2 linked regions of the Tamandua tetradactyla genome follow. The protein of the gene in region 2 binds, or shares a complex with, the protein of the main gene of each other region. Links are inferred from orthologs where the notes say so. Each region holds a gene or a part of one and is shown on either strand. Other genes may lie near its edges.

Region 1 (16,334 bases), about 20 Mb from region 2:
TCAGAAGCTCTGGATTCAGGCCCTTGCCCCATACCTCTTACTGGTTAGATAACCTCAGAAAAAAGTCTCCAAATCCTCTCTACACCCATTTTCCTTATCCATAAAAATTAACTGCCTGTTTCCTGCCCTTTTCCCTACCCCAACCCAACCCCTCCCAACACACACACATGATTATGAGTTTCCATGAGACCATGGAAATGTAAGCCCTCTGGAGTCTGAAAAGCATTTGTTATTCTTATTATTGTTATTTGTGGAGAGATTGTAGAGCTCAGCGCAAATCCATTCCTCTAGTTGAGGAGCCTAAGTGTGAGGTATGTTGGCTCAGAATCTTCTCCTCCTACACATTTGGCAGAAGCTCTTCTTCTGTCCATTGAGGGAAAGAAGATGATCCAGCTGTTCCTTTGGCTTGAAGAAGAAGGGCTTTTCAGAGTCCACACTGATTTACAAGGGCATAGCTTGGAATCTTTGGGCTCTAGAGAGCTATCTGAGTAAACACCCCTAGATGTCATTAAGTTAGATGTGGAGGTATGAGTTTAACCTTGACATTCTAACGTTCAGTCACCAGCTTGGTTTATTCATTCACCTGTGTGCCAGGTGCTTCTCTGGACCCTGAGGATGTGGTGGTGAAGAACCTGAAGCCTTGGCTTTCCAGAGCTTGAGCCTGGTTGGGCCTAAGGCAATCAATTTCTGTCTCTGGAGTAAAACTCCTCCCTTACTTTCACCCAAGCCAGCTTGTCCTCTGGTGAGAAGGAAAAGTTCCACGGAACTACCAGGCTATACACAAAGAGCACAGCACCTCAGAATTGAGAAATAACAGTTAAAGCTCATTGAAGAGATTTTTCTGCTATAAGAGCTTACAATCTAGGTACTTCTTCAACGAGCCTTATAGAACATTCTGTACTCCTTAACCACTGATTGTCCAATCTCTGCCCATTTTATATTCCCTAATAACCTATGTTCTTAAATTCAGTTCTCACAGTTTGCTCATTATAATAAGTTTCTATAAATGAGACCATACAATATTTGCCCTTTTGTTTCTGGCTCCTTTCACTCAATGTAATTTCCTCAATTTCACATGGTTTCATGTCTCACAAATTCATTCTTTCTTGTAACCGCTCTATGTTGTTGTATGATTACATCACATTTTGTCCTTCTGTTCATCAGTCAATGTACCTCTAGGCCAACTTCATATAAAGGAGGGGTGAGAGTTTCTTGTTGTTGTCATTTCTCCTTTTTTTAGTTCTTAGTTTTATTTTGTTTTCTTCTTCTCTCTTTGTGGATAGATTGTTTTGGTGAGTGCATAACTATGTGATTATACCAGGAGATACTGACTGCACAGTTATGATCCACTCTATGGTACGTGAATAAAACTCTATAAAAAATAAACAGAAAGATACAAGTGCTGAGGAAGATGTGGAGAGAGATAAATACCTCTTCACTGTCCACAGGAAAGTATAATAGGCAGAGGAGAACTATGATCCTTGAGGGAAGGGAAACATAGGAGGTGAACCCAACAACTGCCCAGTTTTCTGCCTGGGGGCACTTACTGGATTGTGGTGTGGGGAAGTGGAGCCTAAGGAGTGCATGGTGGTGTCACCGAATTGAGACGGTACAGATTAGAATTCAGGGCCACTGAAGAAGCTTTAATTTTGGGGATAGGTTTTGGAGGAGCAGATGTTAAACAGAGGGGTACTTCCAGAAGATCCCTATAAATCCTTGATTAAGGCTTGGCTTTGCATGTACATGTTGAGACTCTACAAGGCCTAGCAGATAGCATCAGCTGTGGGGATGAGAGCTGGACAGAGATGCTAGAGGTTACACATGGCTTAGAGATTTTGGAGTTTCGAACTGTTCAGAATGAAGAAACCTCACTGAGTGACTTGGGCACTGTTTGATCAAGATAATCTGCCAGTAATTTTCACTAGAACAATACTTAAAAATCTTCAAGGGAAAACAGTAAAAAATTTACAATGCATAATCCCCAATATTCAGTATACAATATAGTATTATTATACATGTGAAGACACAGGCAAATGGGGCTAATAACAATAATAATAATAAAAGCAACCGATGTAAACAGACCTGATATGAGCCAGAATTGGCAGATTAAGATTTATTTATTTATTTATTTATTTATTAATTAAAGAAAAAAAAGAAATTAACACAACATTTAGAAATCATTCCATTCTACACATGCAATCAGTAATTCTTAGTATCATCACATAGATGTATGATCATCATTTCTTAGTACATTTGCATCGATTTAGGAAAAGAACTAGCAAAACAACAGAAAAAGATATAGAATGTTAATATAGAGAAAAAAATAATAATAAAAAATAAATAAAAAAGCATAAGACACAAACAAACAAACAAAAAACTATAGCTCAGATGCAGCTTCATTCAGTGTTTTAACATAATTACATTACAATTAGGTATTATTGTGCTGTCCATTTTTGAGTTTTTGTATCTAGTCCTGTTGCACAGTCTGTATCCCTTCAGCTCCAATTACCCATTATCTTACCCTTTTAACTCCTGCTGGTCTCTGTTACCAATGACATATTCCAAGTTTATTCTCGAATGTCGTTCACATCAGTGGGACCATACAGTATTTGTCCTTTAGTTTTTGGCTGATCACTCAGCATAATTTCTCTAGGTCCATCCATGTTATCACATGCTTCATAAGTTTATTCTGTCTTAAAGCTGCATAATATTCCATCGTATGTATATACCACAGTTTGTTTAGCCACTCGTCTGTTGATGGACATTTTGGCTGTTTCCATCTCTTTGCAATTGTAAATAATGCTGCTATAAACATTGGTGTGCAAATGTCCGTTTGTGTCTTTGCCCTTAAGTCCTTTGAGTAGATACCTAGCAATGGTATTGCTGGGTCGTATGGCAATTCTATATTCAGTTTTTTGAGGAACCGCCAAACTGCCTTCCACAGTGGTTGCACCATTTGACATTCCCACCAACAGTGGATAAGTGTGCCTCTTTCTCCGCATCCTCTCCAGCACTTGTCATTTTCTGTTTTGTTGATAATGGCCATTCTGGTGGGTGTGAGATGATATCTCATTGTGGTTTTGATTTGCATTTCTCTAATGGCCAGGGACATTGAGCATCTCTTCATGTGCCTTTTGGCCATTTGTATTTCCTCTTCTGAGAGGTGTCTGTTCAAGTCTTTTTCCCATTTTGTAATTGGGTTGGCTGTCTTTTTGTTGTTGACTTGAACAATCTCTTTATAAATTCTGGATACTAGACCTTTATCTGATATGTTGTGCAGATTAAGATTTTAAAATAGGTATTATAAATGTGTATAAGGAAAATATAGACATAATGGCTAAAGAGATGGTGAATATCAGCAGAGATATTGAAACTATAAAAAAAGAAAAAAGGAGAAATTCTAGAACTTAAATTTACAAATATCTGAAATTAAATGTCCTAGATAGGCCTAGCAGCATATCAGAGACTTCAAAAGGAAGGATTGGGAAACTTGAAGAGAGATCAGTAGACTCTTTAATGTGAAAATCAGAGAAGAAAAAGAGTGGAAAAAAAATGAACTGAGCCCCAGGAGCATGTGGGGTAATATCAAGTAGTCTAAAGTATGTGTAATTGGTGTTTCATAAGGAAAGGAAAGAGAGAGAATGGGCAGAAAAAACATTTGAAGAGATAATGGCTAAAAATATCCCATATTTGGTGAAATATATTACCACTTAAATATCCAAGAAGCTCATCAAATTTTAAGCTGGATAAATAAAAGAGAAGCACATCTATTCACCTTATGGTCAAACTGCAGGAAAATTAAAGATATGGAGAAAATTTAAAAGTAGCCAGAAACAAACCTGGGATAATTGAGCAACAAAATAAATAATGATAATTTTTTATTATAACCTGGAGAATAAACTAAATATTCATGAGTTCATGCTAATAGAAATAAAAAATCAAATTAAGAGAATAAGTCAGAAAGCACAGCACTTCTTTACTATAGAATATCAATTTATAGATACAGAAGAAAAAAGGAAATAGAAAATCACTATTAATCAAACACCACAACAATAACTGTTGCAGTCAACAAACATTGAAGGATATTAAAATTAGTGGGTGAAGTATGAAGAGAAATGGAATATTTACACAGACTCAAAGTATCGCCCCATCAGGTATTCACTAATTACAAAGAGAACAATACTAACTTGACAGTGAAGAAATGTGGCAGATACAACCATGGGATAAAAATTAATAGTATCAGTAATAAGACATATCAATATCACCTACCCCTGATATAATGTACTGAGAAGGCACAATATCATTTTTGTGGTATTCTTGTCCAAAATGCCTCAATCCAATCATGAGAAAACATCAGACAAACCCAAACTGAGTGACATACTGCAAAATAGCTGGCCTGGACACTTCCAAAGTGTGAAGATTATGAGAAAAAAAAAAAAAAGATCAAGGAACTGCCCCCAACACTGAAGGAGACTAAGAGAATGATAATTAAGTGTAATATGAGGTCCTGCATTGGATCCTGGACCGGAAAAAAGACATTCATGGGAAAATTGGCCCAATTCAAATACTTTATCTAGATTTGTTAATAGTATCAATGTCAATGTTCTGAGTTCAATAATTATGATTTGGTGATATCCGATGTTAACACTGGGAATGATCATATGTTAAGGATGTTTGTGTTTCTTTCTTGTCATATATATTTTTAAAATTTAAAAAATTAATAATAAAAAAAGATGCTAACATTAGGGAAAGTTTAGGGAAGGGCATAGGGAAACTCTCTTTAGTATTTTTCCAAGTCTTCCGTATGTGTAAAAGTATTTCAAAATGAAAAGTTAAAACAAGAAAAGCCGAAGGGAAAAGTCAGGGGAACGAGAATAGAAATGATGACTGACTTGGCGTCAGAAATAATAGTGGCCAGAAAACAGTAAAACAACATCTTTAAAGTACTGGCAGGGAGTGGGGAGGGGGCCTATTAATCCAGAAAATCTATATCTAAGAAATACCATCACGAATGAAGGTGATAAAAAAAAAAGAGGGCGGGCCGCGGTGGCTCAGCGGGCAAAGTGCTTGCCTACTATGCCGGAGGACCTCGGTTCGATTCCCGGCCCCAGCCCATGTAACAAAAACGGAGAAACAGAATACAATAAAAACAAGAAAATGTTTAAAAGATGTTTCCCTTTCTTCCTTCCTTCCTTCCTTCTATCCTTCCTTCCTTCTCTCTGTCTTTCCTTTAAAAAAAAAAAAAAAAAAAAAAAGAATGAAGGTGATACAAATGAAAGCCAAGTGTATTTGTTACCAGCAGAACTTAATTACAATAATTGCTAAAGGAAGTTATTCAAGCTCGAGGAAAATAATACCAAATGGAAACTAAAACACAGGAATAGAGAGCATCAGAAATAGTAAACATGGGGGTAAATTAAAAAGGCTATCTTTTTAGCTTCTTATTTACATTATTTGAAAGGCAACTAACTGCTTAAAACCAAAGTAAAATATTATGTTGTGTAATTTATAATGTATGTAGAAGTAAAATATATGATAAAAATAGCATAGCAGATGGGGTTGTGCCAATGGAATTACACTATTGTACAATGTATTTTGCATGCAGTGGTACAATGCTAATTCAAAGTAGATTAGATATGATAAATTGAGGATGCATATTGTAATCCTCAGAGCAACGATATGCACACACACCCCATAAAGAAGAGGTTTAGCTAAATAGCCAATAGAGGGGGAAAATGGATTAATCCAGAAGAAGGCAGAATAGGGAAAACAAATTGAGAAGATGGAACAAGTAGAAAGATGGTAGGCATAAATAAAACCATCAATTATTGAACTAAAATGTAAATGGACTGAGCCATTTCCCTTCCCTGGGGCTGGGAGCTCAGCAAGACTCATTGGCTTGGTTGCTGAGGCTGGAAGCAGTTGAGAATTTGCCAGCATATTCACCAGGGTTGGCCTTTGGTCAGTGTGATTGCTGAGGTCAGTGTCAATTCACCAGTGAACTGCTCTGGTCCTGCACTTTGCTTGTTTTGGGAGGTTTTTGATTACTGATTCAAACTCTTTACTTGTTGTTGGCCTGTTGAGTTCTATTTCTTCTTGATTTAGTTTAGGTGATTATTGTATTTCTAGGAATTTGTTCATTTCATCTAGGTTATCTAATTTGTTGACACACAATTGTTTTTAGCATCCTATTATAAAGCTTTTTATTTCTGTGGGGCCTGATTTTAATTATTTGTGTCCTCTCTTTTTTTCTTTGTCTAGGTAAGGTTTGTCAATTGATCTTTTAAGAAACCAACTTTTGGTTTTATTGATGCTCCCAGTTGTTTTTCTATTCTCTATTTCATTTATCTGTGCTCTACTTTTTGTTATTTCCTTTACTCTAATAACTTTGGGTTTAATTTACTCTTCTTTTTCTAGTTCCTCCAGTTGTGAGTTTAGGTCACAGATTGCAGATGTTTCTTTTTTTTTTAATGTAAGCATTTAAAGCTATGAATTTCCTTCTCAGCAGTGCCTTTGCTGCATCCCGTAAGTTTTGGTATATCGTGTTTTTGTTTTCATTTGTCTCAAGTTATCTTCTTATCTCCTTTGTGATTTCTTCTTTGACCCATTGGTTGTTTGAGTATATTGTTTAATTTCCACACAGTTGTGAATTTTCCAATTTTCCCCATCATTAATTTCTAGCTTTATTCCACAGTGGCCAGAGAAGACACACTGCATGATTTCAATCTTTTAAAATTTATTGATACCTGTTTTGTGATCTAATATATGGTCTATCCCAGAGAATGATCCATGTACACTAGAAAAGATTCTGCTATTGTTGGTGAGGTGTTCTACCTATGTCTGTCAGGTCTAGTCAATTTATAGAATAGTTCAAGTCTTCTGTTTCCTTAATTGATCTTCTGTCTAATGTTCTATCCTTTATTGAAAGTGGTGTATTGAAGTATCCTGATATTAATGTAGAACTCTCTATTTCTCTCTTCTAACCTGTCACTATTTGCTTCCTATATTTTGGGTCTCTGCTATTAGGTGCATGTTTATTTATAATTGTTATATCTTGTTAAATTTAACAAAAGATAAACCACCCAATTTTAAAAATAGACAAAATATTTGAGAAGACCCTTCATGAAATAAGGGTCTATGAATGGCCAATAAGCACATGGACAGGTATTCAATCTCATCAGGGAAATGCAAATTAAAACCATAATGAGATACTACTTCCCACCCCTTAGAATGGCTAAACTTGAAAAAACTAATGATGCTTATTGTTGGTGAGAATGCAGAACAACTAGTACCCTCATGCATTCTGGTAGGTGTCTAAACTTTATTTGTAAGATCCCCAAACTGGAAACATCCCACTGTCTACCAATAGAAGAATGAATAAACAAACTGTGGTATATTAATAAAATAGACTATTACTGAGTAATAAAAAAGAATGAATCACTGATATATGCAACAATATGAATGAATCTCAAAAAACAGTTTGTCGAGGAAAAGAAGCCATAGAAGCACATAATGTATGACCCTATTTTATGGGTTTCAGGAAGAGGCAAACTAATCTGATCTATGGTGAAAGAAATTAGAAGAGTGGTGACCTACCGGGGGTAAGGATTGCCTGGAAGAGGAGACAAAGGAACTTCACGGGATGATGAAAATATTCTTCATCTTGTGCATTTCATTCTATATAAAACTTATCTCATTAAAAAACTAAATAAATAGCAAATTACAGCATAGTCTGCTAGGCAGAGGTGTAACCAGGCTGTGCGACTTGGATTTTGTTCCAGGTCAATAACATTTTAAAGGACATAAAATATCAAACTGGTGATTTTAAAACATTGTTCGTGTTGTTAGGGCTTCTCCAGATGCTGCAAGCTATCACCCCACCCGCCACGGCCGTCTACGCCTTGCCCTGGACAGCTAGAGGAAATGGCTGGAGCTCGGGTCTTAAAGCCCAGCTCCAGGAGCCCCACTGGAAATGGCTAGTGATGCTCTGCCTTGATGTGTGCTACCATTAAGATGTTTCCTGATGCTATGGGAGATCTGAGGAGGGAGGGCCCACAGCTGCAGAGGGTCAGGCTGGAGATGGCGGTGGTAGGGCTAGATTACATGGAAGAAATGACATACACCCTGGAAGTTGAATTTTCCAGGTGGAAAAAGAAGAAAGCGGCTCCTGAAAGGCACGGGGTTTGTCTTGCGCTGGGGTAAGAGGAAGGGTGTAGGTGTGAGTCAGAGCTGTCGTCAGGTATCTTGTTTGTCTCAGGAGAGGGCCGGCAGTCTGAAAGCCTTAGGGAAGCCCCGGAGCTGGAGACTGTGAGTTCTTCTGTGAACGGATGCCTCAGGCCTCGTTTCCATTCCTATCAGAGCCTGCCCGGGACCCAGGCCTAGGGGCCTCCATAGCATTTTATCTCTTTTTCCGTGGGCAGTCACCAGGAATCAAACCCCGGTCTCTAGCACTGCAGGTGGGAACTCTGACACTGAGCCATCATTGACCGCCCCCCACTCCACACGCCTTTTTTTCCATAGCATGTTTTCATCTCTGGGCCTCTAGAGGTTTCCAGCCAGAGTTCTGACCCAAGGACTATGGGGTAGGATTCAGGGGAAGAGGTCTTTGCTGAAGACACAATAAAGCCTGTGGATTTCAGTTTGGAAGCAGTACCCTGATTGTGTCCTGAATGATTCATAGGCACCTAATAGGTGCAAGCATTTGTAGGGAGAGGCCCTTTATAGGCCTATTATTACTGCTTACACACGTTTGATCTCAAGCAGTTTACAGTTTGCAGGAAAACAAAACTAACCCAAGAAAAAGTACGGAGCTGGTAGTCAACAAGTGTCTGTTAATCAAATGAATGAAAGTGTGAATGAAAAAAAAAAAAGCTGATGGTACTAATGCAAAGTGTCTCAGGAATTCAGGCAAAAGAGATCAGTGCCAGGTGACTTCCAGGTGTTAGGAGAGCAGCAGGCTCCCACCTTTTCTGACAATACCAAGTGCCCTAGCGCGGACTTCTCGGACCTGGAGGTCTGTGGAGGATGCCCGCACGACCCTCTCCAGCCCTCAGGCCGACCGGCGGATCCACGTGGGCGGAGGCGAAGGGTCGAGATAGCAGCCGCAGTTTCCCACCGCCGGCCCTGGGTTCTCGGTTCAGAAAAAGGCCGGAGGGGAGGAAGCCGGAGTCGGCGGCCCGCCCCGTTGCGTCCCACCCACCACGTCCCCTCCCCTCCAGCTACGGGAAAAGCGGCCGCGGGCGCCACTGCTCGCTGTGGGGCTGGCGGGCGCGGCTGAGGCGGAGTGCGGTGGCAGGGGGACGGGATGAGAGCGCGGCCGCGGTCCTGGCCGCTCTGGGCCACTTTGCTGGCGCTGGGGGCGCTGGCGGGTGTCGGCGTCGGAGGTGAGTGAGGCTTCCCCTGGGCTCCGCGTCCCGCGTCCCGTCGCAGCCAGATCAGCACTTGGAGAGCTGAAAGCCGGACTGGCGCGTCCCTCGCGTCTGCCCTCGTAGTGCGCGGCGCGGGCTGCCATCCCTGGAGCCCGGAGCTGGCCCTTTCACGGGCCGGCGAGGGCAGGGTGAGAGACTCGCGGTGTTTGGAGGTGGGTCCGCTGGACGCGGAAGCCGTTAGCTAGGTTGGAAGCCTTCCCGGGGCGGCTCCGGAGTGAGCGGTGCTGTGGGCGCATCTCCCGGGCGCGCGTTCAGCCTCCGCTGCGCCTTTCACCGCTGGTCCCCGACCTCTAGAGAGAAGACCCGCTCTGGTAGCCGGCGAGGTGGGCCTTCCCGACGCTGCCCCTCCGCACTGGCAGAGACATGTGGTTGTAACTTCTTGGATGGAAATGGATGTGTACGGGCGGATTTTCCAGTTACTTGACATTCCTGTTTCTCCTTGTGTTAGCCTTTCTTCCAAGTGTCGTTACAGCCGCGGGCTCGTTTCAGAGCAGAATGAGGGTCCTGTCCCCAGCAGGGTTCCTGGCGGGCTGCGGGACTTCTGCTTCTGTATCAGAAAGCGGACCTGAAAAACTCTTGATGTTTTCGGGGAGCCACACCAAGGATCTCTGGGATGGTTTGAATCCCTAGTTTTGCCGCTCCCGCTGCTGAGCGCACCATCAGCTGCCAGGGCACTCGGTATTCCGCCGCATTGGTGCTGGGGAACGGGTGGAGGGACCCGGAGTGCGGCCCGTGGTGCTTCCGGGGCCTGGTGAGCTCCCAGGGCGAGCTCTGGCTCCAGGTCCGTCTAGGACGCATGAGTGTGCATGCCTGTATTTTTTATTTTTTTTTTTTTGCAGTTTTTAAAATTTTTTTTTATTAATTAAAAAAATTACAAGAAAGAAACAAACATTCTTAGTATATGCTCATTCCGTTCTACATATATAATCAGTAATTCACAATATCATCACATAGTTCATGCCTGTATTTTTGAGAAAAGCAGCAATTCTCTTTGGAAAACAATTTAGACCATATGGAAGGGATAACAACAACAAAGTACGAACTGATAAGTCAATTTCAAAGGTAACTGTTCAAATTATTGGTGAATGCCTTCAAGACTTATATGTGCAGACAATATATATAAAAGGAGCATACTGGATAGGGCAGCAGCATCTTGATGGAGGAGTATGCTTGATACATAGGTATAGCTGAAAGGTCCCAGGTCATGAAGATTAAAAAAAGATCAACTGATGTCCTCAGCTTGCAGTGAACAGCCTGATTGGTGACTGTCATGCAGAAATGTGAATCCCTGAGATGCTGAGAAATTATAACTTTGGCTCAGATGCTGCCAGCTGCTGATGGGAGAGAGGGGTTGGAGAAATCCACAAGCACAACTCAACTGTCTCATGAGATGCCTGCTTCCATGAACCTAAAACATCTTTTGCATCCACAGCTTCTCATTTCTGAGTGTAACCATATATTTTTTTTTTACAGTTTTAGAAGTAAAGAGGTAACATAAGATAGTGCCTAGCAAGATTCTTCACTCAGTGTTACTGAAGATGAAAGTGTCTTCTCTCCCCGGGTGTATCTTGTGCTGATCTAGTACACATGATTGTAATGACCCATATGGAATTCCACTGCATTGGCATGCCTGTTTGGTTGGCAGTCCTTTGCATGAAAGGTCCTTTAGGAGATCTGTTCACAGATTCATCGTAGTGAATTGGGTGCCTCCCAGAAGTGGTGGATCCAGCTCAGATGCCTTCTGAGAGGCAGGGTAGTGTGGTGGTTGAGAGCAGGGGCTGTTGAGTCAGACCTCCATCAAAAGTGCCCAGTAGAGCAGTTTCTGTTGTATTTGCACCCCTCACCCGGGTGCTGGCGGCAGTGTTGCAGGTGTCATCAGATTCCAGGGGAAGCAGGTGGTGGGCTAAGAGTAGGAGAGTTCTGTTGGGACAGTTTTGAGGGGACACAGAAAGAGCTGGTGGTGGCATGGAGACTGTCCCAGACTAGGAGAGTCTGGTATGGGGAGAAGAGAAGTTTGAGGGTAGAGCTGCATTTTGGATTTTATGTATAAGAATGATCTTTCAAACTTCACCCAAGCAATATTGGATTTTGTGGTTTCCTCATATTTAGGTCTTTATTTTAACCTAGAACCTGATGGATAGTAAGTTTTGTTTGCTCTCACCATCTAAGTTGGTTGATTCTGAGTTGAGGTGCTGATTTTTTCTGTTGAGTTTATATCCCAGCAACTCTTCAACCGAATCTCTCTGCAGGAACCTTCAGGTGAGGGGGGAGGACAGCTATGGTTTAGAGTCGTTGGATACGGTTTGATTCTTGACTTGCTTCTTATTGACTGTGTGACCCTGGAAAAGTGACTTAATCGCTTGGGGTTTCAGTTTCCTGTTTGTAAAGTGGCAGAAACAATACCTTGATGATTACGTTGAGTAAATGAGATAAAGGCACAAAGCAAATATTCAATAAATGGCAACTACTGCTATCATTATTCTTCCGTTCTGTAGAATGTACCATGTAAGGGTGCAAGAGCCATTACTGTTCCGGACATGAGTGCAAACCAGCTCCCAGAACGAGCCTGACAGGGTCCTTTTCCCCACACTTATGTGGAAGGGGCCTCCTCTTATTTCAGTCCATTCCTGTTGGGTGCTTGGCATATTTCAGCTATCTAACCCAGCAAGAACCTACAGGAGGGGGTGAGGACAGCAGAGGCTTTATCCAGGAGAAGATTTCAAGTCCTGACTCTGGGAAAAGAGGAAGATACAGGAGTCCATAAAAGTCCAGGTTCCATGAAGACAAAGACGTGTATTTATGGTCAACATTATCTCCAGTGTTGGCATATAGGCGGCAAAATAAACAGATGTCTATGGAGTGCTACGAAAAGATGTTGAGGGGTGTGGGCTTTACTTTAAGAAGCCTGATATTTGCACATCTTCAATCGTATAAGATCCTAAGTGCTCTAACTGGACACTGTAAAGTATTAGAATACACCTGAGACCATGAATTCTTTGCTGCGCGCTATTGTACCGTTTGGACCACTTAGGATGCTGGAAACTCAGTGGACTCCCTGTGAATTATCTTCCTGTTTTCCTTCCTGGGAGGAGCAAGGCAGGAGCACGTACTCCCCTGGACCTGCCTCAAACCTTTGAGGGTAAGGGCAAAGGTGAGGCGTGGGGGAGGCCTCCTGGGGACAGCACAAGATGGGGTGAGGAGGCCACAGTGAGGAGGGGAAGTCTGGATATGACACTGGAATTTCCTAATAGAAATTCCTCCTCTGCAACTCTGCACCCCACTAATGACTTCCGGTTATCATCTCCTCCCATCCCCAAGAATCCTTCTGCCCTTGTTGGCAGGAAGAGCCAGGAAGTGTGCCCACAGGAACCACAACTCATGAATCAGCAGACAGATAATTAACTGGGAAGTGAGTGAGCAGCTTCAGGGCTAAACCGCTTGCCTTGGTCCAGCCCTCTCTGCTGCCCGCAGAGCTGGCTTGCTGCTTCACCTCATCGCCTCTTCTTTCCCTGAACCTTGGCCCTTCTGAGTGGGAAAAATATTATACCTGGTGGAGCTCAGGTCACTAGTGGAAATGAAGGTGGGAGCAGGGAAATGACATAGCTCAGGGGAACCGCTTATTTCTGCTGAGTAAAATGCTGGCATTTATGTAAATGTGAGGCTCCTCAGCAAAACATTTATAAAATCTGCCTTTCTCTCCATGCACAGCGTATCCCCAGAAACACTTTTTTTTAATTACAAATTTGCTCTATTGAGGTATAATTAACAATCAGTAAAAATTTGTCCTTTTTTAGGCATATAGTTCTATGAATCTTGACAACTGTATATTTGAATATTTCCATCACCCAAAAAAGTTTTGTTAAGCCCCTTTGTAATTAATCCCTATCCCCACCTCCAGTCCCTGGCAACACCGATCTACTTCCTGTCCCTATAGTTTTAGCTTTTCTAGAAAGTCATATATGTGAAATCACACAATGCTGTCTCTAATCCTGGCTTATTTCATTAGCGTAATTCATTTGAGATTTATCCATATTGCATGTATCACTAGCCTGTTCCTTTTTATTATTAAGTGGCATTCCATTGTATGAATGCACTACCATTTACGTATCCACTAATAAATTGCCTTTTTTGACAATTAATGAAGTCACTATAAACATTCGTGTATAGATTTTTGTGTAAACATGTTTTATTACTTTTGAGTTAATAACCAGAAGTGGGATTGCTGGGTTTTATGGTATGTCTAACTTAAAAAAAAATTGCCAAACTATTTTCCAAAGTGGCTGTCCTGGTTTGCATTCCCACCAGCAATATATGAGAGTTTCAGATACTCTGCATTGTTGCTACCACTTGATATCGTCAGTTTTAAAAAGTTTAGAGGGCCGTGGTGGCTCAGCAGGCAAGAATGCTTGCCTGCTATGCCAGAGGACCCAGGTTTGATTCCCGGTGCCTGGTCATGTTAAAAAAAAAAAAAAAAAAAAACACTGTAGAAAGTTTAGATATTGTAATAGGTATGTAGTGATATCTCATTATTGCTTTAGTTTGCCTTTCCCTAATGGCTAATGATATAGAGCATCTTTTATGTGTTTATTTGCCATATGTGTATTTTCTCTGGTAAAAAATTTGTTCAAATCTTTAGCCCATTTTTGTGTGTGTGTGTGCTGTATGGAAGGGGTAACATTTCATTCTTTTTCCATGTAAGTATCCCCTTATTGCAGCAGCACCATTTGTTGAATTTTTGTTTGGTTGGTTTTTTATTTGTTTTGTTTGTTTGTTTAGGAAGTGCACGGGCCGGGAATCAAACTCAGGTCTCCTGCAAGGCAGGCAAGAATTCTACCACTGAACTACCTTTGCACTCCCCTTTAGCCCACTTTTTAATTCGATATTTATATCCTTCTTTTTGTGCTGCAAGAATTTTTTTTTTAATTCTTCTTTAGTTTTTAAAGGCTTTTTATTGTGTAATAGAACATCTATACAAATAAAAGAAAGAAGAAGCAATAATTTTCAAAGTACACTCTCAGAGTTTGTTATGGGTTTCCGTTCTTCTATTTCAGATTTTTCCTTTTAGCTGCTCCAAAACACTGGAGGCTAAAAGAAATATCAGTATAGTGATTCAACAGTCATAATTGTTTGTTAAATCATATTTTCTCTGTTATATCTCCTCCTTCTCCTTTGATCTTTCTCCATATCTATAGGGATCTTTAGGCAATACCCATTCTGACTTTTTCATGTTGAGAAGGGGTGCTGACACCAAAGAATAGGAGAATGTAATTAATTGGTAATCTTGGAAAGGCTTGTCCCTCTGGGTTTCAGGATTTATCTGGCCTAGGAACCCTCTGGAAATTATAGGTTCCAGGAAAGCAAACTCAGTGCATGCAACTTTTATAGAGTCTCAGCTCGAGCCCCAGGTGTTCTTCAGGGTTAACAGGAATGGTTTTGGTTGGAGTTTGACAAACCATAGTAATGATCACTATCTAACTGAAACTTACATAGGAGTAGCCTCCAGAATAGCCTCTTGACTCTATTTGATCTGTCTTAGGCACTGATGCCTTTTTACGCTTCTTTTCCCCTTTTTGGTCAGGTAGGTTGTGTTGATCCAGATTCATCCCTCAGAGTTATGATCCAGGTTGTCAGGGAGAGTCTCATCCCTGAATGTCATTTCCCATGTAGTGGGGAGGGTAATGATTCTCCTTGCAGAATTGGGCTTAGAGAGAGAGAGAGAGAGGCCACATTTGAGCAACAAAAGCGGTTTCTTGGAAGCAACTCTTAAGCCTTGTTATAGGTAGTGTTAGCTTTTCTATTACAGAAATAAGTTTCATAAGGGCAAGCCTCAAAATCTAGGGCTTGGCCTATTTTCTTGGGAGTCCCCAATGGTTGAGGGAGCGGGTACCTGGGGTTTCCCAGATGGGAAAGTTTAATAGTTGTTTTTTTTTTTCCCCTTCAGACCCTCAAGGGACTTTACCAATACTTTTTAGTTATCAGCCCACCATAGTCTGAGATATTTGTAATTACATTACAATGTGTAGACGTTCAAGGCTTCGTTCCCCGTCTGGACTCTAGGAGTTTGGGTTGTTTAAATTAGCTACCCAGACAGGTTGATTTAAAAGATGATATATGATATACATATATATATGATATATATATCATCTTTACCTTGTATTCTGATTTGCCTTAGTCCCAGGCAGATTGGCTTCTTTTTTTATCTCTAATAGAGGCCTGATATTGTTTTGATTATTTTAACTATTATTGTATATAGCTATGCTAACTTGCAGGGCTGCAGCACTCCATTTCTGGGTCACAGAGTTACTCAAAGTTCTAAGGAAATACCAGCTGATACACATTGTGCTGGTTTGAAACGATGCATGTTTCCCCTAGAAAAGCCATGTTTTAATCAAAATCCCATTTCATAAAGGTAGAATAATCCCTATTCAACACTGTATGCTTGAAACTGTAATCAGATCATCTCCCTGGATGATGTGATTTAGTCAAGAGTGGTTGTTAAACTGGATTAGGTGACAACATGTCTCCACCCATTTGGGTGGGTCTTGATTGGTTTATTGGAGTCCAATAAAAGAGGAAACGTTTTGGAGAATGGGAGATTCAGAGAGAGCAGAGAATGCTGCAGCACCACGAAGCAGAGAGTTCACCAGCCAGCAACCTTTGGAGATAAAGAAGGAACATGCCTCCCGGGGAGCTTCATGAAACAGGAAGCCAGGAGAGAAAGCTAGCAGATGACGCTGTGTTCACCATGTGCCCTTCCAGATGAGAGAGAAGCTCTGACTGTGTTTGCCATGTGCCCTTCCACTTGAAAGAGAAACCCTGAACTTCATCAGCCTTCTTGAACCAAGGTATCTTTCCCTGGATACCTTAGAGTGGACATTTCTATAGACTTACTTTAATTGGGTCAGT
Region 2 (16,933 bases):
GTTAGGCATTACTATTCCCATTTGAAATGAGAAAACTTCATCTTAGAAGATTAAGTAACAAACACATATTATATCCTGACCCCCTCACCCCTAGGGTTCTTTGCCCCATTCCACTTCCACCATACAAACCCAGAGCCCCACAGTGGGAGTAACATCATTACTAACTTTCCATTCGGGTGAGGGTTAGTTAATTATCATAAGCTTACCGATTTATAAGAGGTCTTTGCTTATGATGGGTATTAAGATCTTTGGTATATTTTACAACTGCCTTTCCTTTGTCTTCTGTCTTTGTTTATGGTATGTTTTTCCTGTGCAGTTATTTTTTCTCTTACATGTCTTTATTGCTTTTTCTGATTGAGTCATGCAGAATTCACCCAAAAAGCCCACTTCTGACCACAATCATGTTTCCAGAGCCTTGGCCTCTACTCTTTCCCCATCTGTTGACTTCCTCATCTCTTCACTTATTCCCTGACCATTTGGGAATGCTAGATCCTCAGCATTTTTGTCCCACTGCCAGGCCTGGGCAAGTCTGACCTGACCCCACCTTGAGCAAGGTCAATATCCACCTGGACCCAGGTTTGTTGAAGAGATAGTGCAGATTGGGGCACCATGATTTTATGGTCTTTGACCTTCACCAGGGACCTTGGGGCTGCCTAGCAGTCAATCAGGGGTTTCTGGTCAGCTCCATGTCTCAGCCTGTGCAGCACATATTTCAAATCTCCATTCTGTCAAGTTCCCACCCCTCCTTCCTCCAGCAGAGGACGTCATCACGTATTTCATAAAAAGAAGCCATAGGAGTCCCCACATCAAGCAGTCAAAACTGTTATGCTCTTAATCCACACCCACTTTCCTTCCTCCTTCCCCTATTTGACCCTAAACTATGCATGTCTCCTTCACCCCTCTCGCCCTGCTGAGAGAGACGCACCCCCGCTTTGAAGGGACCCTTCTCTGGATCATCTCCCCCTCTTGTTTCCCCGCAAGATAATTTTCCTTCACATTAACCTACTCCATATTCTTCCAAACTAAAATAACCTTCCCTTGACCCTCCCTCCGTTCAGTGATTATCTTTTCTCTTTTATGTTCAAACTGGTTGAAAGAGCTGTCTACATCGGCTGCCTCCAAATCTTCACCCCCATTCACGTCTTGCCCCATGGCATTCCAGCCTCTGCCCCTACCCTGCCCTGAAATGGTTCTTTTCACTGTCACCGGTGTCATATTCACTTGCTAAAGCCCATGGATATTTCTCCAGTCCCATTTAATTGTACCTTTCAACAGTGTCAATAGTCCCATACTCCTCTGCTTAAAGTGCTCTCTTCCTCTGGTCTGGGCCATCAGATCTACTGGTTTCCTTCTTACCTCTCTGGACACTCTACTGTCTCCTTCCCAGATTCACTTCCTCTGTTAGTTCCCTAAATGCTCTTCCTCCCAGGGGCTCTGTCTTTCACGGACTTCTGGAGACCTCATCCATCCTCCCCAAATCTCTATCTCCCACTCGGACCTCTCTCATGGAAGTGGAGAAGCTTCATGCAATTATTCTCTAGATATTTCCACCTAATGCTTTCAAGCCTGTGAAGCTGAACAAGTTCAGAGTTGACCCATGGATCCCACTCCTCACCCTAAAACCTGTGGCGTGGCCTTGAGTTCCCTAAAGCAGTAAAGGGCTCTATCACCCACCCAATTCCTCCCTTTCACTTAGTTTCACTTCTAGTTACCCATCAAGTGCTAGTAATCTAAATTCTCTATCTGGGCAGTTGCCCTTATCTATATCTCCAAAGCCAAAACCCAACTCCAGATGGTCATCATTTTTTGCTTGGACTAATGCAAGCACATCCTAATTGGTGTCCTTTTGTCTAAGCACATAGATGAGAGAGTCATTCTTGTTTAAAGCTCTTCCTGGCTCCCACTGCTCTGAGGTCAAGTCTAAGCTCTGTGTAGTTGCTGTTAACCTCTCTGCAGCAATCTGGGCTCCTCTGGATCCTCACCGTTGTAGCCATCTCGGTCCAGGTCACCCAGGGGCGCGATGGCGGAGCCAAATCGTCCATAGAGCTGTGTACCAGTTAGCAGGACACTGGCGGTGCCCAGCGGGTGGGAGACACGAGGCTGCAGGAACAGGTACACACGCCCCACTTCCGCCAGCTTGCGGTCAGCACGGTTCGCCATGTACAGCGGTGCGCCCACTAGCAGGTCATGCCTCCTGCGGGCCAGAGGGTCATTGCGTGGGGTGGGGGGTGGGGATGCTAGGGGCCAGGGTGAAATCTGGCCCAAGCTCACTCTCCCGCCTCGCCTGGGTGATCACATGGGGGTGAGGAAAAGGAATGGAGGAGAGTGAGGGCGTCGCAGGCCACTGGTGACTTGAGACTCAGCTGGGTGAGGTGGCCCGCCTCCATCCTCACCCATCCCCATTGACGTCAGTGACGGCCACCGAGTGCCCGAAATATGAAGCCATCTGCAGGAAGACAAGGACATCTTAATTCGCGGCCTGGTACCTGACACCCCCTCTCCGACATCACCCTTTCCTATCTGGCAGCATATCCTAGAGTCTCAGCCTTCCCCACCTGCTCTCCAGACAGCTGGTGCAGCGTCTGGTAGTAGGAGTCCAAAATCTCCACCTGCAGGGAGACCGCACGCAAAGACATCACTCCCGCCTAGCACCTCGGCCTCCGGCTCCAGGTGAGAAAGGACAAGAGGTTTCCGGGACATTGTCAAGAAATCTGGAATCGTGGCCTTCGGGTTGCTGAGTGGCAGGGCAAGGGACACTCACCGCTCCCAGGGTCCAGCTCCAGGTGGGGGCACCGACGACATACTCTGGGGAGAGCCGGGCCCAGCCAATGAGCTTTAGTGACTACCCTCCTTCCACTCCCTATGCTGCACCCAGGGAAGATGTTGTGCGGGGCTAGAGGTGTTGCTCCCGGGTCTGGGCGCCCCAAGCCTCTCCCCTGTCTTGTATACGGGGATTTCTTGCCTGTGGTACTGGGGTTCCCGTCGAACTCGCCCACAGCCACCGAATACCCTGAGGACACAGAGCGAATTAGTTTTTTCCGGGTGGTGGGGAGCGGTGAAGAGGGACAAGGCCAAGGGCGAGGAAGGAGAAGATTCAGAGACCACCCAGTCCAAACCCGGCATTATATAGATGGGAAACTGAGGCCATCTAGAGGCCCAGACTTGCGCGCTGCGGGTACACGACGTGAAGGGACAGACGCAGGGAAGTGAGGCAGTCTGCCGGTGAACTACCGCCGCAGAGGGCGGAGGTGCCTCAGGTGGTAGGGCTGTTTAGTCTGGGTTGGTGGGCGGACCTGACAGGCTGGGATGGGCGGTGACTCTGAGGTTGTTGGGAAGCCTGGAAGGGCGGTGCCAGAGTTACCCCGGTAGCCATCGAAGTATTCTGGGTTGCTGGAGTCGAAGGTGAAGCTCTGGGTGGGCACGTGCCACAAGACAGTGCCCCGGCGGTAACTCGAGACTATGTCGGTGAGTGGAGCGCGGGCCAGGAGACCTAGGACCGGAAGGACAGGGAGTGGGGGGTCTAGACGCCGGTGGTGGTTTCCCGGAGGCACGGAGCCGCGATAAGGGACGGAAGTGTAACGGGTGGGATGGAGCACGTACCTACGAAAAAATAGCCGCCAGGGGCCCCAAGTACCAGCTCCCCAGCCTGAAAAGGAAGCCCTGGAGGTGAGAGGGGACCCTGTTCGGGGGTTGGCCCCACGCGGCTCTTAAGCTACTCGCCTGGGTGACTACGGAGCTGAAACCCGCTTCACAGTAGCGCCTGTCTCCGCCTAGAGGACGCAAGAAGGAAGGGTCAGAGAAAGGATGGACCTGGAAGCCCCGCCAGGGGCAGGGCGCGGGCGGAGCTACATGGGGCGGGACCATGTGGCGTGCAGAGGCCTGGCCTTGAAGCGGCGTGGGGGCGAGGCTGGACTAGGAGCTGGGCCATTGGGTGATGCCAGATCGAAAGCCGGGCCTCGGAGCTCAGACAGAGGGAGCAAATTAAGGGCGGGGCCGAATGACCGCAGTGGGCGGGCCAAAACGGAACGCCGCGGAGGCACTTACTGAAGTTATTCTTCACGTAAACTCTGCTCATCGTGTTGGCCCGGCAGGGAGCGTACTCCACACGGCGGCCGCTCTGGACCTGAGCCACGAAGCAGCTCCCTACCGGCGTCTTCTCGGCCTCATCGTTCTTTTCTAGGGCGTTCCAGTGTTGCCAGGGAGCGCAGGCCTGGGGTAGGGCCGTGGGAGATTGGGAAAGGGCGCTCGGCTCGGGATCCGCCTCGCTCTCATCCTATCCCAGATGTCCCTGCTCCCAGTGCCCCGTCCCGCGGTGCTCACCACAATGTTGTCGCTCCAACTGACGACCGACGCCCCCAGTCCTTGCCCGGCCTTGAAGGTTTGGAAGGTTTGGGAGCCTATGTTTTGGGTTTCATCCCCTGGAGAGTAGAAAGGGGTGAGGGCCTGAAGCCCACCATCCACACCCCCTCTGACCCCTTTCCCTGCCCCCTTTGCTTGTGACTCACTGAAGTCAAAGGGCAGCGAGGTGCACTGGTTGCCCTCGGCCCTCCAGGGGCACAGGAACACGCCGCCCGTCTCCTCCAGGTTGCGGCCCAGGGTCCGTGGGGCGCCCACCACGATGGCCACACTGCGCAGGAGAGCTGGGTGAGCGCGGTGTGGATTCCCTCGTGCCCCGGACCCCCGTGCCCACGCTGGGTGCACTGCCCAGAAGGGCAGGATGCCATGGACAGCGCTGGACCATCCTGCCTCAACAAAACCTTCCAGACTGTGGGGGCCAACCTCTTAATTTTATGGACAGTGAAAAATTACCCCCAGCGAGGGCAAATCGCGTGCCTAGGGTAAGATTTGAACCAGTTCAGTTTGATTTGAATACAAGAGATTTGATAACCCAACTGTCAAAGACTTTCCAAGCTCTGTACACCATCCCCACCTCCCCCTACCTGTCCCACTCAAATACATGCTGCTAGAACGTCTGTCTGGAGACTATTACACTGTCACCACATCTTTTCTTGAGAGCTGGTTTCAATGGTAAAGGAGAATGAGGGAAGCCAGAATGCCTCTTAGGTACAGATGGGAGGGGGGAGGGCTGATGGAGCTGAGGACCCTTAGCAGATCTAGGTCCAAATCACAACTCTTCATTTACTGTGAGACTTTGCTCAGTCATTTAACTTTTCAGTGAGTGTGACCTCACGTAAAATGGAGATAATACCAACCAATTAAAGCTATCAGGGGTAAATGAAATAAATTAGCATTGTGCTAGCCAAATACATAAAGGTTCTCAATAAAATGATATATATATTATAAAATTTTGTATCTAAATTTTATATACTATATATAGTATATATAAGAAATAGCATATATATAAAGCACATGGAATATTTACCAAGAAGTGGCCCTGGGATCAATGCCTGTGGAGGGGAAACAGGAGTGGGAGGAGGAGAGTTAAGCAGAGATGCAGACCTAATGACAGTTTTGTCCCCTGATTCCCCTCTCCTGGGGAGTTCTGGCAAACCCTACAGAAAAGTCCTGGGTTGAGGCTAGAATGCCAGATCCTTACACACTCCACCACCACACCCTGAATTCATCAGTCATTGGATGTGAGCCACCTTGGCAATGGGGACTTGACTTCGGGAGAATTAGCTCTCTTCAACAGAAAAAATTCCATCAAGAACATTTGCAGGCTATCTGCCATTGCCCCTCTCCAAAGATGGGCACCACCAGTTCCACCACAATAAGTTACTATTCACTGTAAAGCTATTAAGACAATGAGCCAGTTCCCTAATCTTCCCTGAAGATTCCCTGACTTCAGTCTATTTAATCCCAACCTTAAAACAATCCCAACCTTAAAATAACATTGCTTCTTTTCAGATATCTATAATTTTGAGGATTGGGGTGAGTAGATAATTTTACAGTTTTGCAAGTCAATTTAGGACATATGCTACTCTCTGTCTTTCCAAAGGGTGAGCATGGAGCAGGTCATACAACTTAACCTTGGGAAAAAACAGAAGGCAGGAACGTTCGTCTTTCCTTTGTTTTTGCTGGGGTTCAGTACCAACCTCCTCCCTGCCACCCTCACCTGAGTCAGTCCCTCCCTAGCATTCCTGTCTATAGCTCAGCCTGAACAGACTCCAATGTCATCTTGTTCAACCTCCATCATAAATGGGGAACTCGAAACCCACAGAAGCAGTGACAGAGTAGAGGGTTCCTTTTCTTTCCCAACACCCAGACTTCTCCCATGGCTCACCTCCCATGGCTGTCCTTGTAGAAGTCCAATGAAAACCCAAAGTGGCTGTCATTGGGGCCTGTATAAAGGGTGAACCGCAGTGGATCCAAGTTCAAGGCCGAGGCTGGAGGGGCAGCACCGGGTCCCAAGAGCAGCTGTGCCCACTCTAGGAGCCATAGGGCTTGCAGTGGATACAAAGCTCTGGCCATCTTCTCTCTCCCACAACCTTCTAGCAGAAATGGGCCAGCTCTTTCACTTCCTTTTGGTTTTCACCACAGAAGCTTTTCTTATCAAACTGAAACTCAGAATAACTTGCCAAGCAGTGGGCAGGGCAATGGGCTATAGGCCCTAGAGGCACTCATTTGGTCCCTAGGATTGCCAGGAAGTGGGGGTGACCTCACCCTGGGGGAGTATGCTTATGGCTGAGAGCTATGACTCCCCCTACCCGCCCCCCATTATCATTTATCACCAAGTCCTGTTGGATCTACCTCTTAACTGTCTTTTGAATCTTATCTTCTCTACCAGTCATCACTTTCTGCTTGGGATGGTGCAATCATGAATTAACTAGTGTGTACACCTCCATTGTAGCCCACAGTTCTTTACTACAGCTTTTGCATCCTACAATCCTGTCCCCACCTCACCCACTCTCCCCTAGCTGGCTGTACTGCTGTGCACATTGACTTGGCCAGAAGTTGGGGAAGGAATAAGGAAACTGCTGTCCCTGATACGGCCTAAGGATGCCATTTCTTTTTAGATATGGTACTTATCCACTTCCTCCTGCCAGGACCTTGGGCAGCCTCAGCCAGTTATATTGAGGCAGCAGCTTCCTCACTTCTCCACCTTGGGGCAAGTCTCAGTGTGGCCACAGCAGTGAAGCTAACACTGGGGAGGGGGTTGGTAAATGGATCTTGCATTTGGGCAAGGGAGAAAGTGGTCTTCCAGGGTATTCTGGTTCACAGACTCTGAGACTTTGTACCAGTTGTTCAGGTGGAAGCAGTGCCTTCTTTGGTGACAGAGCTTCTGTCCAACTATGAAGATTCTGGTGGGGTCACTGACTAGAGGAAGCCTCCCCTGACTCCTCAGGCTGGAGTCTGAGGCACAGTGCTGATCACTCCAGTTAGTTACAATCTGTTTGCTAGATTGGGTCCATGAGTCCTTGGAGAGCAAGTTTCCTTCTGAAGCCCCAGGGCTTAGTCAAGAACCCAACATGTAGTAGGTACAGCTGAAAGAACCATAAACAGACTGAACAGAAGCATGTACTTAGGCTGAAGATGCAAACATGGAATCACATATGGGAAGAAAAGGAAGAGTTCTGAGAAGAAAGGCAAGGTCATCTCTTATAGATGAGAGGAAGAGGACAGGAGTACCAATGAGAGGCAGAGGCCAGGAGTACCAAGGAGTAAAGGAACATAGCCACTTTTCGGAGTTCTGATTCATGTTTCTCTTCAGATCAAACTTAACCATTCTTTTATCCTCCCCAACTACTCTGTATTATTCTGGAATCCCTTAAGAACTTCCCTTTCCCTCACCACCTTAGCACATAACTCAAAATACCATCTTTCACTAGGGTAAAAGTTTGAGAGTGACAGCAACACAAGATGGCAGTTACCACGGACTCGGGAGAAAAAGTCCCTTGCAATTTCTGACTTCTGAAAGAACTCAAAGAAGGCCAAAAAGTAACAGGAGTGGCATAGTTAGCTGGGGTCTAGAAGATGATGAAGGCATGAATTTACAAGATTGACAGGGATGATAAATGGGCCTCCAAGAATAATTTATGAAAATTAAATACACAGTCTTAAAGCAGAATGTGGACATAAATACTCAGAAGCACTCCCATTTGTTAAAAAAATTAATATGGAGTTAATATGAATGGTAGACTCAAGAGCTCTCTCTATATATATCATTAGTTTTTCTGGAAGAGCTTTGGTGGCGAATGATGTCTAAAGAAAAAAATCAACTCTCTCAGCAGTTTTACTACAAAAAGAAAACAATAGGCCCTCTCCTGATCCCCATTTGATTTAAGCAGTCTTCATTTTCTAGAACTGTAAATTTTCTAGATATATTGCGTGGACCTCAAAGTACTGGAAAGGAAACTCCCATTCAGAGGCAATTTATCTTAAGATACTGTAAATGATACTATTGTTTTTCCATTTGAAAGATGTAAGTTATGCTATAACAAAAAAGAATCCTTGAGCTTTAGTCTGAGCATTCTTCAATGCTTGAATTCTTAGAGACAAGTTCATGGTAGGAATACAAGATATTTGTTCGAATAAATACTTAACCCAGCCCTCTAGTCTCTCTCCAACCTCCCATTGTCCTCAACTGAGTAATTACTGTAGTACTGATATACTTTGTATAGTCCAATGAACATGAATGCACAACTGCAGCAGAGGAACAGTAAAGCATGCCTTGAAAAGTTTAGATTGTGCCTAAAACCTCAATCATGCCTAGATGATGATATTTTTATTAATTAAAAAAAAATTAACACATTTAGAAATCATTCCATTCTACATATGCAATCAGTAATTCTTAATATCATCACATAGATGTATGATCATTTCTTAGTACATTTGCATCGATTTAGAAAAAGAAATAGCAAGACAACAGAAAAAGAAATAAAATGATAATATAGAGAAAAAATAAAAATAAAAAATACAAAAAATATATTAAAAAACAGAACAAAAAAAAACTATAGCTCAGATGCAGCTTCATTCAGTGTTTTAACATAATTACATTGCAATTAGGTAGTATTGTGCTGTCCATTTTTGAGTTTTTTTATCTAGTCCTGTTGCACAGTCTGTATCCCTTCAGCTCCAATTACCCATTATCTTACCCTATTTCTAACTCCTGATGGTCTCTGTTACCAATGACATATTCCAAGTTTATTCTCGAATGTCGGTTCACATCAGTGGGACCATACAGTATTTGTCCTTTAGTTTATGGCTAGTCTCACTCAGAATAATGTTCTTTAGGTCCATCCATGTTATTACATGCTTCATAAATTTACTGTCTTAAAGCTGCATAATCCATCGTATGTATATACCACAGTTTGTTTAGCCACTCGTCTGTTGATGGACACTTTGGCTGTTTCCATCTCTTTGCAATTGTAAATAATGCTCCTAGATGATGATATTTATATCATGTTTCTCATAACAACCCTATAAAGTAGGTACTATTATGCCACTTTACAGATGCAAAAAAGTGTAACGAAGAATTTTAGGTAAATTGCCCAAGTATACATAGCTAATGGGTAGCAAAATTAGAATTCAAACAGGTTTCTGCTTGAGTCCATGTTCTTAACCATTACACTATGCTGCTTTTTGTTAGAGAATGAAGGGGTTTCTAGGAACGGGGAATAACATAAGCAGAGTAACAGAACACAGAGGTCAATTATAGGGAAAAGCAAGTATTGACTCAGCATAGGGTGTTTTAAAGGGGTAGATTAGAACATGAGGAGGGAAAGGAAGACTGGGATCAAATCAGTGGAGGTCCTTGAATGCCACATTAAGGAATTTGCCCCTTAATCCTTAGGAGATGGTGAATCCTAAAGAATTTAACACAGGAAACAGAGACACACTGATCATTTAAGCTCTAATTTGGATGATTCACTGGCTGCCTGAGGACAGAAGGAACTGGAAAAGGAAAGGCTTAGTGGAAAGACCAAATAGGTAGTGACTACAAACTTCTGGGGTAAGGGTGATGATGCCTCTCGTAGAAGAAAACATAGGGAGGAATCTTCATAACCTTGGGTCTAGTAGTGATTTCTTAGATATGACACCAAAAGCATGAGCCATAACAACAAAATAGATAAAATGGATCATCAAAAAATATTTGAATGCCAAAAAGGACGCTATCAAAGAAATGAAAAGACAACCCATAGAATGGGAGAAAATAATTGCAAATCATATATCTGATAAGGGTTTGATATTCAGAATATATAAAGAACTGCTACAACTCAACAAAAAAAGACAACCCAATTTAAAAATGGCCAAAAATTGAATTGACATTTCTGTAAAGAAGATATACACATGACCAACAAATATATGAAGAGATGCTCAACATCTGGTCATTAGGAAATGCAAATCAAAACCACAGTGAAATACTGCTTCATATCCACTAGGATCGCTTTTATTAAAACAGAAAATAATAAGAGCTGATGAGAATGCAGAGAAATAGGTGGTAGCACTGCAGAGTGGTGTAGTCACTGTGGAAATCAGTTCAGTGGTTCCTCAGAAAATTGAAAACAGAATAACCATATGACCCAGCAACCCTATTTCTTGGTATATATCCCAAAGAATTGAAAATAGGGACTCACACAAATACTTGCACATCAATGTTCATGGCAGCATTATTCACAAAGCCAAAAGGTGGAAGCAATCCAAGCATCCATCAACAATGAACAGATAAGCAAAATGTGGTATAAATACTCACTGGAATATTATTCAGCTGTAAAAATAAATTTATGTATGCTACAACATGAATGAACCTTGAAGACATCAAGTTGAGTGAAATAAGTCAGACACAAAGAGAAATACTGTGGGATCTTGTTTATATGAAACATCTAGAAGAAACAAACGTCACAGTTATAGGTTACTAGGAGCAGGAAGAGAGTGTTATGGATTAACGGGTGAGGAGTTTGAACGATGAAAAGTAGGGGTGATGGATATGGGTGATGGTAGCACAATATTGTGAATATAGTAATACCGAGTTGTACATTTGAATATGGTTAAAATGGGAAAATTTGAGTTATATATGTTAACATAGTTTACAAAATCAAAAAAATAAAAAGGTGATGAGGCCTCAACCAGGGTACTAATGTCAGGAACAAAAGAGAGTGCAGAGATGACAGAAGCAGTTAACTGGATATGGTTTGGTGCCTGGCTGGCTGGTAGGACAGGAGTACCATTTAGAATTGGAAATAGGCAGATGAACAGATGTGGGGAGAGTTTGCTATTCAGTATGGATTCTGTTCCTCATGGGTGTTTCTTTGGTGTCAGACCTGGGTTGACCTTCCTTCTGAGATAGTAGGCAGAGGAATGCTGACACACTGCTTCCATTTTTTCACCCCATAAGCCTGAGTCCTAGAATCCCTCACTGAATTTAAAGTTCAATTAAGGCTTCATTTAGCCAACAATTATTGCGCTTCTATTATGTGCCTGGCACTGACCTATATGATGGGAAAAAAATAGAAATGTTGAATGTTCCCTTGATGAATCTTGATGTATAATCCTCAGTTTACATTTGATTATGTTCGTATCCTTTTTTTTATTAGAGAAGCAGTAGAATATCTTAAATATATAATCAAAATGTTAATATCTACTCAATTCTATGTAACACACACTAATAACTCTGAGAGTATTTGGCCTCTCAGAGCTTATAATTTTACTAGTAAACAGCAAATACAAAAAGAATTGCACTCAGATTCTGGAAAAGCAGCATGTTTACATGGGGCAGGGAATTCAATCCGAGGGTCAAGAAAACCAGCCAGGAAGATGTTACAATAATTCAGGCATGAGTTGGTAAGGGGCAGGTGAAGGTATCCCTTATAAATGAGAATGAAAATGGTTGACAAGGCCTGAGTTAGTCAAAGGGTGGAGAAGAGGGAGTACTCATATGTTTCAAGCCCAAGGGGCTGGGAAGAAGGTGTCAGAATACGGTAACTGCACAGACCTGTATATGGCATACTCTGTGAAGGCAAGTGTCACTTCTAGTTGACGCCTTGCTGCTCTCAGAAAAATCAATTTTCAACTTCTAATATCCTTTCCTTCTGGGAAGGGATCTTTGCCTTTTTAGGAAAATAGGTATATCCAAGCACCCAACTCAAGAGCCAAGTCAAAAAGCTCCTCTCTGGTGGACGGTAGAACACAAATTGTATGAGAGAATAAGAAAGAAATGGACATGGTATTCCTTTTTCAAGGGCTTGAGGATGAGAGGGGAATCTAATTTATCACTAAAAATCTATATTAGCTTTCCATGCTAAATTTTCCCTGCCTCTTTTGTGATTTTTTGATATGGAAGAGTAAGGATTTTCATCTGCTAACACTCAGGGCATATTTTCTTATATGAGGCAGAGACTGTGAGGCATTAAGAGTGGTATTAAAAGGTAGAGTAGAGGAATAAAAGTGTGGTATATAGAACTTCATTGGGAGAGCAAAGGCTGGGCAGGTGAAATCCTGTAATCCTAATGCCCTTAAATTCATCCAAAATACTAAATGTCACAGCTGGAAATTCCAAACCCATTTAGTAAACACCCACACTCCACACTATCTACTACACAGATTATAGATCTGAGAAAAAGGAAATAGAACAACATTATTGGGAAAGAGGGAGTATACAAGAGGTACACATTCCAAGATACCCAAGACTGAGAGAAACCTAACTATTACTTCCTTCCAGTTTTAATCTTTCCCTTTAACTTGGGCAGTCTTGAGTTTTTTTGTTTGTTTGTTTGTTTTACATGGGCAGGCACCGGGAATCGAACCCGGGTCCTCTGGCATGGCAGACAAGCGTCCTTGCCTGCTGAGCCAACGTGGCCCGCCCAAGTCTTGAGTTTTGAGAGGCACAATCCCAAACCTTACAAACAAATTGTTCACAAGAACCTATTCCCTGATCATTTCCAGCAAGATATTATTTGTAACACACAACTCCATCTCTTCCCACCTTGAGTGGATGGGGCAACAATCATGACAGACTCTGCTACGTTTCCACAAATCATTGGTTTATTAGAAAGTTCTCTTCCCTCATTTTACAGCATATATATCTCTATCATATGTGATAAAGTTAAATACAGTCTGCAATGCTTGTAAGGATAGGTTATTTCATTTTTCCTTTTTTTTTTTTTTTTTTTTAAAGTTTTAAAATCACTATTCTGGGAGTTAAAGAAAACTGCCCCCAGGAAGGCAGATAGGCAGCCACGCATGGCTCAATCTATAAGCTAATGAGAAGCAGCACAGAAATGTTAATACTGTATTATTTAAATATTTACATGGGCTGAAAGCAAAGAAAAATGAGTCCCTTCTCTTCAAACAGATGATTTCCTTTTCCCAGTGCTAGTCATTTAAAAAGTGATATTTCTGAATCAGACGAAAAGCACTGAACTACATGTAGGGGGCTCAGTTAAGGGCATTATTTACCTAGCACTTGCTTCTCATAAACTCAAAAAATGTTTTCTTTTGGTAATATGAGAAGAAAGACAGGAACACAGAGCCCTGGCCCAGGTTAAGATTTTGTTTTTGCTGTCAGGTGACCACCCAACCAATTCTAGACACAGGAATTGGTAGGCAAATGCCAAAGAGGGAACTGCTAACTACACCCAAGGAGATGGGACCTGAAATGCAAAGCACCTTTGGGTCAGTGTATTAATTAGAGCTGATAACCTGGGGGGACTGTGGTGATAATTTCTCTGGTCAGTGTCATGGGAAGAAATTAAAAAAGGAACCTTTCAAATTAGGCTGGACTGAAGACATGGAAACAATGAAGCAAAATAATTTGAAGTGTCTATAAATGTGCTCACCTCCCAAAAAAGGAGGAAGAAAACTGTCCCGATTCTATTTTCCTCCAGTCTACTCCTTCAGTTTCTAGCCAACCCAAAAGGCACATTTAAAAAATTGTCAGAGGGGGCTAAGTATTAGGAAGGCAAATGGACTGCCTGGAATAAGGCACCCAGGAAACCCAGGGTCCTCCAGACAATCACTCTGAATCCCACTGCTTCTACAGAATAAAGCTCCTGAATCTCCCCCTCCTCCTGTGGGGTTCATCTTTTCTCTGTATAAAATAGCAAAGCAAATGAACATCTCTCTGACACCCCCAGCTGACTGCTGCCCATTAGCTCAAAAATCCCAGTGCTGGGGGCATCACTTACTGCAAACTACTTAACATTTGTCCCAGCAAAAAATGTTAAACAATGTTTCTTTTTTTTTTTAAACATTTTTATAGTTCATAACTTCAAAAAATACATGACCTTGATAAAATATACATGCTTAGTCATTTTTGCATCTAGCAGAAAACAAATGCTTTATTTTTTGTTTTCATTTTATAACCTTTAAAGTTTCTTAATTCAACTAGGGCAAACATATTTACACAAAGCCACCAGAACAAGGATCACTTAAAGAGCTGGATGTAAAAAATATTATTGCAGTATACTACAAATATGGAACCTTTTATATATGAGCTACAAAAAGCAGCATTTACGTTTAGAGTTCAGTGCAATTTTTTACATTAAAAAAAATCCTATAAATTAAGAAGGAAACATCAACATGACATAAGAAAAAATACCCTTCAGACACATGAGCTCCTCTCTGGGGAAGCACATGGTGACTCCATGTTCCACATAGCTTCTATTCATGATAGGATCTCCTTTTCTGGGATATGCAAATGCCTCTTTTGGGATGGGGACATGAGGACACAGTGCCAAACATGTGGCTCTCTGTATGGGAAGTGGATAGAATTACAGCCAGATTAACATCTGGTTCCAGATCAGACTCCCTTTCCACCTCACCTGGTGTAATTTCACCAAGAGACAGTCAAAGACACTGACCCAAAGCAGTGGTGCTTTCACCACCTGAGGACAGTTTGGCTTCCCTGTGGCACTGAGAAGGCAGGACCAGATGGGTCTGTAGCAAATGTTTTGGTGACTACCCGCTGGCCAGAGAAGAGGAAAATGTTTAAAAATTTATAGAAGGGAAGAGCAGAAGATAAAAAGTAGAGGGAGGGTGTATCTAAACTTGACAGTTTGGAGATGTTGCTGCAGAGCAGTGGGTAGTACTTACTGGTGTTTCCCAGCTTAGAAACATAGAAGAGGGATGGACAAACAGGAAAGGGGAAAGGAAGACAAACAAACAAAAAAAATTCCCTGATAGTAAACTCAAGCAAACCTCAAATCTAAAACCACCCCTGCAAGCCAAAACTCAATTCTTTGGCTGTCAAGACACTGCCCACTCCAGCTTCTACTTGCTGGTATTAATGGCTCAACACCCCCAAGCACCTTCCCCAGCCCTTTCTGCACTCCCATCACTCAATTCATGTGCCATGGCTAGGGGGGTGCTGTAGATCCTGACCTGAGAAGATGGGATGAAGCAGTGGGTGAAGGTGAAGGGCAGTGGCAGCTGCTGCAGCAGGTCGTGGGGCAAGTAAAGTTGGGTAGAGGGCAGCATGTGGGACAGGGTGGAACGTGAAGGGCCCAGGATGGATGGCTGAGGCAGGAATGATGTGGATTGGATGACTAGCGAGGAAGGTGGCAGGGTGGCCAGGGATGATTGAGTGAGTAAGGTGAGACAACGAAATCGGGGTCAGGTGGGGCTGGGGAATGTGATGTACTTGGGCAAGAGGCTGAGGATGAGGGTGGGGGTGAATGCCAATGGCAGCAGCGGCTGCTGCAGCATGATGTTGCAGTATGGCATGCTGAACAGTTGTGATGGAGGTGGCAGAGGCTGTGGCTGGCTGCTGAATGTGGATGGGCTGCAGGGCTGGAGTAGCTGGGGCCAGGGCAGCTGAGGCTGGAAAGGCCTTTACTTGCTTGGCCAGAAGCTGTTGCTGGATGTGCTGCTGTGCGGCCTGCTGGAGCTTACTATACTTCTCCATCTCCTCAGGAGTGAAGGTGATAGGCTGGCTCTCTAGAGGGGCCAGTGAGGCATCTTCAGCCCCATCTGTTGACTCAATGCTAGGATCCCCACTGGGAGGTGCATAATTGGGGAAGTGCTCAAGATCTGGAGCTATAGGTAGCAAGCTGGATTCCACAGGGCCTGGTTGACTGCTACTATCCAGGGACTCTAGAGTATCCCCATCACTGGGGTCAGGGAGGTAGTTATGGGAGATGGTTGGGTCCCCAGGATAACAGTCAGAGTGTGCTGGGGTACCCAGTGGAGCCACAGGGTGATCAGCAGTAGCTTCTTCAGACTTTGGCTCTTCTGGAGGGGGAGGGTCTGATAAGGGGCCAGCTGTTTCCTCTGAGGGGAATGGATACCCAAATTGGGCATCGCTACTCCCTGGGGGCCCCTCTTCCGTCTCTGACTGTTCTTGCTCTTCCCCCTTTTCTAAGCCAGACTCTTCACATTTCTTGGTGTTGGGCTTTCGGGTAGTTGGGAGTTTTCCTATCAGTGGAAGGACAGGCTTATTGCCAAGAGAAGGAGGGAGCTTGGGCCCAAAGTAACCTTGTGGTGGGTCCTTGAGTTTGAGTCCAGCTTTATTAGGGGTGGCCAGCACCTCCTCACTCACACTGAGTTTCCTTTCTACTTTCCTTGACTGGATTTTCTCTAGTAGCAGCTTGGCAGTAACGGAATTCTTGTCTTCAGGGCTGCATTCACCATCTGACCCCCTTCCTGTACCAGTGTTGCTGTTCTGGGAGGGTGGACCTGTCCCTTTACTGTCATCTCCTCTGCCATTTTCCTTCTTCCCAGGACCTTCTCCTCTGCTTGATCGGAAATAGTGGGGGGACTGGGAGCGATAGATCTTGGAGCGAATGAAGTCCCGACGACCAGAACGCCTCTCTTCAGGGCTCTCATGACCCCATGAGCCTTTCCTGGAGCTGGATCTCTGGGAAGGGCTCCTGGTGCTGCGGCTGCGGTCCCGGCTATAGCTCCGGCTTCGCTGCCAGCTGTGGGCTGTGGTGCTTCGACTTCTCCGTTTGCTCCGGCTGCGACTACAACTGCTGCTGCGGCTGCGGCCCCGAGATCTTGACCGCTCCCTGGAATGGCTCCGAGATCGGCTTCGGGA

What was found.
Region 1: the proteins of ITGA2B (region 2) and ITGB3 are in contact, whole or in part, in a cryo-EM structure (PDB 8GCE), measured with the Homo sapiens proteins. The link is inferred for Tamandua tetradactyla from reciprocal best matches to the Homo sapiens genes ITGA2B and ITGB3. Residues at the interface, in NP_000410.2 of Homo sapiens: Gln49, Phe52, Arg72, Trp141, His143, Asn145, Glu152, Ala153, Glu154, Lys155, Pro157, Arg184, Phe191, Tyr197, Glu199, Phe202, Pro217, Tyr221, Phe222, Phe262, Asp263, Tyr265, Tyr268, Thr290, Trp293, Thr294, Gln315, Met316, Ala317, Tyr319; in NP_000203.2 of Homo sapiens: Ser188, Pro189, Tyr190, Tyr192, Ile193, Ser194, Pro195, Pro196, Tyr204, Asp205, Met206, Arg242, Asp243, Pro245, Lys279, His281, Ile282, Ala283, Leu284, Asp285, Arg287, Leu288, Ala289, Gly290, Val292, Gln293, Pro294, Asn295, Asp314, Tyr315.

The regions. Positions count from the first base shown.
Region 1 is NC_135332.1:2,959,679-2,976,012, forward strand, and holds the start of ITGB3 (integrin beta-3), read left to right. Parts: upstream 1-9,282; 5' UTR 9,283-9,304; coding exon 9,305-9,383; intron 9,384-16,334. UniProt on the Homo sapiens protein: Integrin alpha-V/beta-3 (ITGAV:ITGB3) is a receptor for cytotactin, fibronectin, laminin, matrix metalloproteinase-2, osteopontin, osteomodulin, prothrombin, thrombospondin, vitronectin and von Willebrand factor.
Region 2 is NC_135332.1:23,081,156-23,098,088, reverse strand, and holds the start of ITGA2B (integrin alpha-IIb), read right to left. Parts: upstream 8,009-16,933; 5' UTR 6,433-8,008; coding exon 6,245-6,432; intron 4,628-6,244; coding exon 4,506-4,627; intron 4,419-4,505; coding exon 4,321-4,418; intron 4,211-4,320; coding exon 4,045-4,210; intron 3,771-4,044; coding exon 3,721-3,770; intron 3,647-3,720; coding exon 3,601-3,646; intron 3,491-3,600; coding exon 3,362-3,490; intron 3,011-3,361; coding exon 2,963-3,010; intron 2,806-2,962; coding exon 2,762-2,805; intron 2,610-2,761; coding exon 2,556-2,609; intron 2,447-2,555; coding exon 2,394-2,446; intron 2,195-2,393; coding exon 1,983-2,194; intron 1-1,982. Other genes in the region: GPATCH8 (G patch domain-containing protein 8), read right to left, coding at 15,242-16,933. UniProt on the Homo sapiens protein: Integrin alpha-IIb/beta-3 is a receptor for fibronectin, fibrinogen, plasminogen, prothrombin, thrombospondin and vitronectin. It recognizes the sequence R-G-D in a wide array of ligands.